3 linked regions of the Callithrix jacchus genome follow. The protein of the gene in region 3 binds, or shares a complex with, the protein of the main gene of each other region. Links are inferred from orthologs where the notes say so. Each region holds a gene or a part of one and is shown on either strand. Other genes may lie near its edges.

What was found.
Region 1: RBL2 (region 3) and LIN52 share a complex: the UniProt entries of both Homo sapiens proteins name them as parts of the DREAM complex. The link is inferred for Callithrix jacchus from reciprocal best matches to the Homo sapiens genes RBL2 and LIN52.
Region 2: RBL2 (region 3) and E2F4 share a complex: the UniProt entries of both Homo sapiens proteins name them as parts of the DREAM complex. The link is inferred for Callithrix jacchus from reciprocal best matches to the Homo sapiens genes RBL2 and E2F4.

Annotation. Positions count from the first base shown.
Region 1 is NC_133509.1:109,031,410-109,035,158, forward strand, and holds the start of LIN52 (protein lin-52 homolog), read left to right. Parts: upstream 1-1,187; 5' UTR 1,188-1,194; coding exon 1,195-1,225; intron 1,226-3,749.
Region 2 is NC_133521.1:24,702,930-24,706,678, forward strand, and holds the start of E2F4 (transcription factor E2F4), read left to right. Parts: upstream 1-1,289; 5' UTR 1,290-1,336; coding exon 1,337-1,471; intron 1,472-1,898; coding exon 1,899-2,008; intron 2,009-2,148; coding exon 2,149-2,310; intron 2,311-2,601; coding exon 2,602-2,645; intron 2,646-3,515; coding exon 3,516-3,577; intron 3,578-3,749. UniProt on the Homo sapiens protein: Transcription activator that binds DNA cooperatively with DP proteins through the E2 recognition site, 5'-TTTC[CG]CGC-3' found in the promoter region of a number of genes whose products are involved in cell cycle regulation or in DNA replication.
Region 3 is NC_133521.1:11,362,728-11,366,376, forward strand, and holds part of RBL2 (retinoblastoma-like protein 2), read left to right. Parts: intron 1-2,134; coding exon 2,135-2,335; intron 2,336-3,649. UniProt on the Homo sapiens protein: Key regulator of entry into cell division. Directly involved in heterochromatin formation by maintaining overall chromatin structure and, in particular, that of constitutive heterochromatin by stabilizing histone methylation.

The sequences.
Region 1 (3,749 bases), on a different chromosome or scaffold from region 3:
TGGGGAAAATAGCTTGCAAATGGCTGCCTTTGGTGAATACCTGGAGTACACGTCTAGAAGGAGATTCAAAGTTCATACACTTACCCTCTCCCCTCACATCCCCTCTCCCCCTTACCTCGGATCAAGGAAAGTGAAGTAGGGTGGGGAAAGGGAGCAATGGCAACGTGGACGCTCACGGCAGGGAAAGAGTAATCAAAAAGAGTAGTTCTCGGGGGAGAGAGAGAAGGCTGGTGCAGAGGTGAAAAGGAAAGACGGTGGACGGATGGAGTGGTGAGGGCAAGAGAGTGACAGCAGGGACCGGGCAGGGCTGGAGGAGAGTGGGCGAGAGCCAGAAAAGAGGAGGCTCAGGAGTAAAAGGGTGTAAGGCCAAGAGTAACAGCTCGGGTGGGATCCGGGACGAGGTAGGGTATGAAGTGAGAGCTGCGCATGGGACAGGGCCGCACAGGTCGCGTAGGAACACGAGGTCCGGCCAAAAAGGGGCTGGGCCAAAAAGGTGGTCCCGCCCGAGGATGGTTCACGGAGTGGACGGAAAAGATCTAAGTCCTGGCTTCATGGTCCCTTGGCACCACCCTCACTCGCCTGCAGGATCCGGGCTCGCACTGCCGCCGCCGCCACCACCGCCGCCATGGCTCTCGGCCTCCCTAGCTCCGCACCCTGCGCCTCTACTGCTCAGAAGCACTACAGCTGCCAGGCCTCGCCCTCCATCCTGACTGGCTTCCTCATTGGTGGGTAGGACTATTTTTTCCAGCCAGTCACGCGAACCAACACCTGATTCCGCCCCTCACACGCCAGTCCTGTGAATAAGTGATTGGTCAGGAGCGAAAAAGGTCTCGCCCTCTCCCACTTCAGCCAATGCTGTTGGCGGAGGTAGAGAAGACGCCCCTGACTTGGACACTCCATACTGTGCACACGGGGAAGACGCCCCCTAACCCGGAACTCCGATTGGCCAAGGGCGCAACCGAGGCCCCGCCCTCTCACCGAGAAAAGTAAATAAGACCCTCCAAGAATTTTGCAGTCGCTCCACCTCAACAACTGCGCGAGGGGCGTGGCTATAATTAGGGGCGGGGATAGGCAAATGTTGCCCTATGAGGCGAGGGAATGAGACTAGGCTGTGAGTTGGGGATAGGGTTTCTCTTTGGGGGAGTGGCTTATGGATCCTCGTTTTCCCGCCGACGGTTGGCCATGTCACGTGACATGGGTTGGAAGATGGCGTCTCCCACAGACGGTAAGAGCCGGCTTGTAGATCTTTGCCTGCAGCCTCCTTCTTTGCTCTACCGGCAACGTCTACTCTGTCTCTGCCCCTCAAACATACATTTCTTTCTTGGGCTCTTCTCCTTTCCCTTTTACTTTTTTTCTTGAGATCCATCGCCGTCTTCAGCTCACTGGTTCTTCACAGCGGCTCCGGAGGTGCCCAGTTTCCCCGCTCTGTACCAGGCGTGTGGAGGAGGGCACCAGGGAGGGACTCACTTTGGGTAAAAGGACAGGGGGTTGCCCTGATCCTTCCTTGTCTCTATTTGGGTGAGGCTGAGAGCCTCGGAGGAGATGTTAGTGGAGGAAAGGACGTGCCTTAAACTAGTCTCCTCCTTGGAGTATCACACTGAGGGATCAGTTTTCTTCTGATTGAGCGCAGGGATGGAACGATTCTCACAAACTCTAGCAGTGGCTGCTGGCTGACCTCATCTCGATACTGAACCGCAAGAGAAACATGATCTCTCTCCTGTCTCTTGTTTGGGACCACTGCCGTGGCAGCAAGATAATCGGGGGACGTTCTCGGCCCCTCACCGTGAGAGTCGCGAGGAGAATGAGTATTGAGCTTTTAAGTGTTGTCTTGCACAGGTCGCAACCTCTTTTGCATCTGCTTTTTGTGTTGTTTCTTCAGGCTGAGTGAATGAACGATTTCTGTTTATGTATTGTAAAATGCAAGTCATTTCAAGTAACAATTAGGTTGTCTTGGTATATTCCTATGCTTTTGGTCTCGGTTCTGCTTTAGAGAGTTAGGGTCTTGCAGTCATTTTTAAACTCATTTTTGTTTCTGTCGTTCCCATCCCAACTATATATATCGATTTCATTGATATATAGGTTTCCCTCCCTTAGACAAACACATTTTGTATTTGGAAGGAATCTTGAAAGTTCATTACAGGAATGAGGAAATTGAAGCCAAGGTGAGCTTTATTAAGTACCTGCTACATGAAACGCATAATGCTAGGTGCTTTGAGATTCCAAAAGATTACTCAAACATATAAATATTTTTTTTTCAATTTCAGATCTTTTTTTAGATGTCACCTCCCAAAGAGTCTCTTAGAACACAGGATCTGGAGTCGCTCTTCCCCACCATTATTCATTATCTCAGTGTCTTCCTTGTCAGCATAGTAATTCTGTTAACTTTGCCCCTTTTATGCTAGATTATAAATTTCAAGTTTGTCTTGTTTATAGTTGGATCCCAGGGTTTAGCACAGTGCCTGGTGAACAGTAGGTCTTTAATTAGCATTTATTGAAAGATTGATTAGATATATGCAGAAATAATATATTACTTGATCTTAAGTTTTAAGATCTTGGGAGGCTGAGGCGGGCAGATTGCCTGAACTCAGGAGTTCAAGACCAACCTAGACAACATGATGAAGCCCAGTCTCTACAAAAAAAAAATACAAAAATTAGCTGGGCATGGTGCCACACACCTGTAATCCCAGCTACTTGGGGGGCTGAGGCAGGAGAATCTCTTGAGCCCTGGGGTGGAGGCTGCAGTGAACCATGTTCATGCCACTGCACCAGGCTGGGTGACAAAGCGAAACCCCCGTCTCAACAACAACAAAAAAGAAATTATGGATGTTTGGAGTCAAAAGAGAGTCTCCTGCCTGGGTGCTCTCTTGCTGAAATGTCCTTCTCTTGCCAGAAAGAAGGGCATTTAAAAAGCAAGGCGAGGGAATAGGGAGTTACTGTTAACAGGTACCAAATTTCAGTTTAGGTAGGTGAAAAACATTCTGGAAATGAATGTGCTGATGATTGCACAATTAATGTACTTAATACCACTGAACTGTATACTTAAAAGTTGTTAAAATGGTCAAATTTATGTATATTTCACCACAATTTAAAATAACAAAGCCAAGTGATAGAAGTAGAGGTAATTGTTATTAAATTTTTTAGTTTATTTTTAAATTGTTTTTACAGATTTGGGGGATTTTAAAGATGTGTTTCTTGAGTTGGATTTTTTCCCCTGTCTTCTCAATTTAGTTTCCTTTCTTTGGCCAGGAAGAGTATTAAAAACATTGTATGTTTTTCCTTTGGTCTTCTAGCCATCTTTATGGTCACTTTATTTGCACTCTTTATTTTTTAAGTTTTCATTCTTATCTCTTACAGAGTTTCACTCTTCTCCACCTAATCTTTTCTTTTTAATCTGACAAAATCAAGTCGAGCACTTTGAACTTAATTAAATTCATCTTCTAAATAAGTAACTCATTCTAAAATATTCCATGGCCTAGCTCTCTCACTTCTATTTTTAGTGTTCCACCTGTCACTGTCTTTAAAATTTAATTCAAACAATATTGATTTAAAAATGTTTTTTATTTACTCTTTTGTCTTTTTCATGCTAAATTTGCTGGAACTTCTTTGAAAAGGAGAAAACTGAAATTCAAATACAGCCATCTAATTACTTAATTTGTGAGAGTAAGACTCACAGCAGAGTTCTGTCCCAGATTGTGGTATCATAAGGTCACCGGTGTAGGTTATAGATCCTACCCTCAATGATTTTTTTT
Region 2 (3,749 bases), about 13 Mb from region 3:
TGAACCCAGGAGGCGGAGGTTGCAGTGAGCCGATTGTGCCCTTGCATTCCAGCCTGGGCAACAGAGTGAGAGACTCCGACTGAAAAACAAAAACAAAAGCAAACTAAAAATAAGCGAGCCAGATGTGGTGGTGCATGCCTGTGGTCCCAGCTACTTGGGAGGCTGGGGTGGGAGAATTGCTTAAGCCCAGGAAGCTGAGACTGCATTGATCCTGCCACTGCCCTCCAGCCTGGGCAACAAACAAATTCAGACCCTACCTCAAAAAACAGGTGTGGATCACCAACAAACTTGCTGCAAAATGAGTCCCATTTCCCAGAGAACCTGACCTGAAAGAAACAACAATGTTAAAAATAACAAAATGGCCGGGCGAGGTGGCTCACGCCTGTAATCCAAACACTTTGGCAGGCCAAGGTGGGTGGATCACCTGAGGTCAGGAGTTTGAGTGAGACCTGCCTGACTAACATGGAGAAATCGCATCTCGACTAAAAATACAAAATTAGCCAGGTGTGGTGGTGTGGGCTTGTAACCTAGCTACTTGGGAGGCTGAGGCAGGAGAATCGCTTCAACTCGGAAGGCAGAGGTTGCGATGAGCTGAGATTGTGCCATTGTGCTCCAGCCTGGGTGACGAGAGCGAAGATCCGTATCAAAAAAAAAAAAAAAAAAACTCTCTCTATAGATATACCCGTATATATATGTAAATTACATATATGTAAATATATATATATATATAAATAACAAAAATTAGCTGGGCTTGGTGGTGCGTGCCTATAGTACCAGCTACTCGGGAGGCTGAGGCAGAAGAATCACTTGAACCCGGGAGGGGAGGTTGCAGTGAGTCGATATTGCACCATTGCACTCCAGCCTGGTGACAGAGCGAGACTCCGTCTCTAAATAAATAGGAAAACAAACAAAAAAAAGGAACAGGTTTGAGGGAACAGATTGGGTTAGTTGGGTAGTGTGGTCTCCTCTCCCGAGATGGGTACTGCACAGAGTTGGTGATGTTGGGGCAAATTGGCAAGGAAAGTTCCGATGGCGCCCCTTTCTCTACTGCCAGGGCTGCCAACTGACATCCTCCTCATTCCTCCCCAACTTCATCCTCAACTCCCGGTATACCTAAGTAGTTTTCGTCTTATTAGGCGGCTGGACATTTGCTAATGGTCCCTAAACTTTTGCGGCTGCGCCTTCAGACAAAAATAGCGCCGCGTTCCCTAGAAGGGACATGCGGCGGAAGCGGAAGAAACGACTCTGGCTCCGGCGGCTAGGAGGGCAGGAACGGAAGCGGAAGTGGCGGCGGCGCCGGCCTGGCCTGGCTGAGGGGAGGCGGCGGGCGGGTGAGATGGCGGAGGCCGGGCCACAGGCGCCGCCGCCCCCGGGCACTCCAAGCCGGCACGAAAAGAGCCTGGGACTACTCACCACCAAGTTCGTGTCGCTTCTGCAGGAGGCCAAGGATGGCGTGCTTGACCTCAAGCTGGTGCGGCCCGGGCTAAGGGACGACAAGGCGGGGTGGTGGACAAGGCCTGAGCCGGTAGCGGGAACCCCGGGGGCGGCCAGGCCGGGTCCTCAGAGAGCTGGCCGCCATCGTGTGCTTTCTCACAGGAGAGAGGCCGGGGGATCTTTCATTCATTCAGCCGAGGCCATTGAGCGACAGCTATGGGCCAGGCTCGGGGCTGCAGGTGTTTGTCCTCGTGGCCCTTCCTGGCTGGCTGGGAGAAGAGCTTCAGAACACCAGTTCAGGGCTGTGCGCCAGGTCTCTTCTCACCCTGCGGTCCTGAGCTGCAGTAGCACCTGAGAGGCACTACAGGGTTGGAACCCAGGTTACTCCCTTCCCAGACCACGTCTCAGGGTGGCTGGGGGTACACCCGAGAGTGGAGCTGATCATTCTCTATTCTGTCTGCCAGGCAGCTGACACCCTAGCTGTACGCCAGAAGCGGCGGATTTATGACATTACCAATGTTTTGGAAGGTATCGGACTGATCGAGAAAAAGTCCAAGAACAGCATCCAGTGGAAGTGAGTGGGGATAGTGGGAGGGTAGTAGAGTCTCCCACCCAGAAGTGTCAGGGGTGTGGGGTGGAGGATGTGGAAGAAAGCAGGGGCCGTGGGACCCAGAGTTCTCAGCAGTTCCTCTTGGCCCCACTCCCTGGGCTCAGGGGTGTGGGGCCTGGCTGCAATACCCGGGAGATTGCCGACAAGCTGATTGAGCTCAAGGCAGAGATCGAGGAGCTGCAACAGCGGGAGCAAGAACTAGACCAGCACAAGGTGTGGGTGCAGCAGAGCATCCGGAATGTCACAGAGGACGTGCAGAACAGCTGATATCCTCCTGACGGTCTCTGCTGTGGCGAGTGGGCAAGGGGCCCTCTGGTTCAACTTGCCCTGAGCCCTCTCCCTCTTGGGAGCTTGTCCTGTAGCCCCTAGCCGTGTCCCAACCTCAGGCTCCCTCCTCAGAGCCCCTTCCCAGTCTTAGCCTGTGATCCCTCCCCAGGTGGACCCCAGTCCCCAGAACTTTCTCCGAGGGCCTATGTGTCAGACTTTGGCTAAAGAGTTGGGTCTTCTCTGTAGTCTGCCGTCTGTCACCATAGGGCCATTCTCCTTAACCCTCACACTTTGGCCTACGTCACTCATGAGGACATCTGCAGATGCTTTGCTGGTGAGCAGAGCCTGGGTAGGGACAAGGGGGTGGGCTGGGGCACTGGGCTCAGTGTCTCAGGAGACACTGTCTCTTGAGTGTCTCTCAAGAGGGTTTCTGGGGCCTGCTCAAAGAGGACCCAGGCAGGGTAAGTCTTCTGTCTGAGGGGCACTGGGACCCTGTGGAGGTCAGCTGTACTGAGAGGGTACAGGAATTTTGGAGTGAGTCCCTGGGTTTGTTCCCATATGCACTGTTACCTGGATTTGGCTTCTTGGGCATGACAGAGGCACAAGGGAGAAGAGGGGGAGAGAGGATATGTGTGTATTTGCTTGTGTGCAGACTCTTACGTGCTCGTATGCAGGGTATGGGGGTGCCCACTTCCAACCTGTTATTTACTTGTATTGTGAATACAGGATCTATTCCTTTTTCTTTTTTTAAAGAGACAAGGTCTCGCTATGTTGCCCAGGCTGGTCTTGAACTCCTGAGCTCAAGCTGTCTAACTGGCTTGAGCCCCTAAAGTGCTGGGATTATAGGCCTGAGCCACTGTGCCCTACAGATGTGTTTCTTCTCCATCTTGCATCCCCAAGGCTGGTCATGGGAAAGGGATGTTGGCCTTGGCTAGAACACCTTCACCTAGGGATCAGCCATTGGTGGAGTGAGGTGCCTGTGGCCAGTGATCTTTCACTCCACATACTTGAACTCAGATTTCCTGGTTACTGACCCTCAGAAAGAGAAGAGCTTTAGTTCTGCTCAGCCACTGTAGGGGATTGGTGAGACCCACTGACTAGCCCCTCAGAGACTATGATCTCCTGCCTTGCTCCAAAAGGCAGGCACCTCTGTTCCCAGCTCAGATTTAGCCTATGGGCTCTGACCCATTCTCTGTCATTCTAGGAGATACCCTCTTGGCCATCCGGGCCCCATCAGGCACCAGCCTGGAGGTGCCCATCCCAGAGGTGGGTGCTTAGCCTAGGCAGGCGGGGTCAGCTGAGGGCGGGTGCTGGCTGTGGAGTCTGATAAGTCCCGGGTGGGGCAGGTAGGGGGAGGCCTGGAGTTCGGGGTTATCTGGGAGGATGGGCAGCCTGGGTGGGAGAGGATACTGTGGTCCTGACTCAAGAGTTGGGCAGG
Region 3 (3,649 bases):
TGCTCTTTTGCCCAGGCTAGAGCACAGGGGTGTGATCTTGGCTCATTGCAACCTCCATCTCCTGAGTTCAAGTGATTCTCCCACCTTGGCCTCCCACGTAGCTGGGATTATAGGCACAAACCACCACACTCGGCTAATTTTTTTTTTTTTTTTTTTAAGGAGGGTGAGGACCCAGCCTGAGCAGCGGGGCCCACTCCCCAATTTTTTTGTATTTTTAGTAGAGAACAGGGTTTTACCATGTTGGCCGGGTTGGTCTCAAATTCCTGAGCTCAGATGGTTCACCCCCATTGACCTCCCAAAGTGCTGGGAATAGAAGTGTGAGCCACCGTGCCTGGCCAACATTTCATTCTTATCATTGGGAAAATTTGAAATCTGGTAATACCAAGCTTGGTCACTGTGCAGGGAAATAGGAACTCTATTTTTTTTATTTTTCAGTTCATTTTTTTTTTTTTTTTGAGATGGAGTCTCACTTTGCTGCCGAGACTGGAGTACGGTGGCTCGATCTCTACTCACTGCAACTTCTGCTTCCTCGGTGCAAGTGATTCTCATGCCTCAGCCTCACAGGGTAGCTAGGACTATGGGTGCACACCACTACACCTGGCTAATTTTTGTATTTTTTGTAGAGACTGGGTTTCACCATGTTAGCCAGGCTGGTCTTGAACTCTTGACCTCAATTGATCCGCCTGCCTCAGCCTCCCAAAGTTCTGGGATTACAGGCATGAGCCACCATGCTTAGCCAGGAACTTTATATTGCTAGTGTACATTGGTGAGAATAAAAATTGGCTTAACTACTTAATTAGGAAATTTGGTGGTATCTAGTATCATTGAAGGTACACATTCTCTGACTCCTCTTCTTGGAGTAACTTCTAAAGGAACTCCTGCACACATGTATAAGGATGATTTCATTACAATAGTTTTTTTGTTATCACGGAAAATTAGAAACAACCTAAATTTCCATGATTGGGGAGTGAATGCAAAAAGTCATTGTGTGTTCATATGAAATAATGTTTTTAGCAATTAAAGGGAATATATCTTATGTATCAACATTAATATCAGAAACTAAGTGTGAAAAAGCAAGATTCAGAATACCACTGAAGTATACCATTTATATAAAATGTAAAAATGTGTAATAAGTAATAAGATGTTGCTTATTGTTTATGCGTACATGTATATGTGTAGTAAGTATGAAAACCTGGGAAGGATTAAGACCAATTTTGGAATGGTGTTTATCTTTGGGAAAGAAAGGTGGGGGTGGGATTGGGGAGGAGTATAAAATGGGAATTTAGGCTTTTTTTTCCTTTTCTTTTTTTGAGAGGGAGTCTTGCACTGTCACCCGGGCTGGAGTGCAGTGGCGAGATCTTGGCTCACTGCAACCTCTGCCTCCCAGGTTCAAGCAATTGTCCTGCCTCAGACTCCCAAGTAGTTGGGATTACAGGTGCCTGCCACCACGCTCAGCTAATTTTTTGTATTTTCAGTAGAGACAAGGTTTCACCATGTTGGCCAGGCTGGTCTCGAATTCCTGACCTTATGATTCCCCCGCCTCGGCCTCCCAAAGTGTTGGTATTACAGGTGTGAGCCACCATGCCTGGCCTTGGCTGTTCTATAGTGTTTCTGGTTTTCAGAAAAAATCTGAAGTGGCCAGGGGAGGTGGCTCACACCTGTAATCACAGTGTTCTGGGAATTCAGGGTAGGAGGATCACACAAGCCCAGGTGTCTGCAGTCAGCTGTGATCTTGCCACTGAACTCCAACATGGGTGACAGAGTAAAACCCTATCTCTTACAAAAAAACTGAAGCAAAAATGACAAAATTTATTTACCATGTTAACATTTAAAACATCTGGCAGTGAACCAATGTGAATGTTGGTTATGATACTCTTGTTAATTTTGGTTTGTATTTTCAAATTCATAATTAACAAATACTTTAGGTAACCTAAAAAAATGATTGGGAGGATCAGAGGAATATACCAATCTGTAAGAAATGAAGCTAGTCAGAGACATGAGTTGTGATTTTATTTCACTGTCTAAAAGTAATATGCTTTAATGAAATAATATTGATTTACTTTTGAAAACTTGCTTTTATATACTTTACCTTTATGTAATTATGAAATGTCTTATTTTTTATCTTTAATACCAGCTTAATCGAATTTTTTAATAAAATGAAGAAATGGGAAGACATGGCAAATCTACCCCCACATTTCAGAGAACGTACTGAGAGATTAGAAAGAAACTTCACGGTTTCTGCTGTAATTTTTAAGAAATATGAACCCATTTTTCAGGACATTTTTAAATACCCTCAAGAGGAGCAACCTCGTCAGCAGCGAGGAAGGAAGCAGCGGTAGGTTTTCATGTTTGTTCGTCGGGAGTACACATTCATCACTGCTGCAGTTTTGATATTTTGCTAATTTGTTTGCTAGTTTAAAAAAATACTATTTAAATGATCTTTTTTCCAATAGTTTTCTTTTAATAATACTTTTTTGCTTTTCATTGTGGGTTAGCCATTACGAGTTTGGCTTTTTTCATATTGCTAAAAGTATAGGTGTCTTTGTTATTATAAATTTTCCTTTTTCTTATTTTATTTTATAATTATTTTTTCCTCAGTGATCCTTGTGATCCGTGTTCTGAAACCTTCCTTTTTCATTTAAACAACAAAAAATGCAGACTGCGCAAGTCAGATGTCAGGGATTTTCACCCTTTAGCTGCCCTGGAGATATATCTATATCTGTATCTAGATATATATTTTATTTATTGTACAGGGGCCATGGGAATCTCTGTATCATTCTAATTTTAGTACATGTGCTGACAAAATGTCAGCCCTAGATATAGATCGCTGTGTTGACCACTATATTTTCTTTTCTTTTTTTTTTTTTTTGAAACAGAGTCTTGCTCTGTTGCCCAGGCTGGAGTGAAGGGGCACAATCTCGGCTAACTGCAATCTCTGTCTCCCAGGTTCAAGCAATTCCCTGCCTCAGCCTCCTGAGTAGCTGAGATTACAGGTGCACACACCATGCCTGGTTAATTTTTGTATTTTTAGTAGAGACAGGGTTTCACCGTCTTGGCCAGGCTGGTCTTGAACTCCTTACCTTGTGATGCACTCGTCTCGGCCTCCTAAAGTGCTGGAATTACAGGCGTGAGCCACTGCACGCAGCCAACCACTATATTTTCTACTAGTGACTATATAGACTATTTTACTTTTATGTCAAAGTGAGTAATAAATAATCCCCTTGAAATAACTTCTGTATTTTGATGTTTATAGTGAATCAAGAATAGAGAGACTGGATTGGGAAAAGACAGGAGAACTGAAACTATTATGAAGGTGTGCTTCAGAAAGACTCAGTTCTGCAAAGTCTATAAGCAAACTCTGGCTCAGTGTTTACTACTGTTACTGATGGATAAAGGCAGTTATATTTTCCTTCTTTATCATTGGAAGTTTTTTCATAAAGTCAGAAATGAAAGTTTTTTCATAAACTTATTAGAAATGAAAATTCTAACAACTAGAAAAGTGTTGACAAGAAAAGCAAGGGGAAAGGAGTTAAAATTATTTGGCTAGAATAAATAATGTTTGCCGCTCTTTAAATATAAAAGTTTTCCCAGACTGTGAAGGATGTTTACAATAAATGTAACCTTTTAAAAATAAAATGGGGGAATGCCA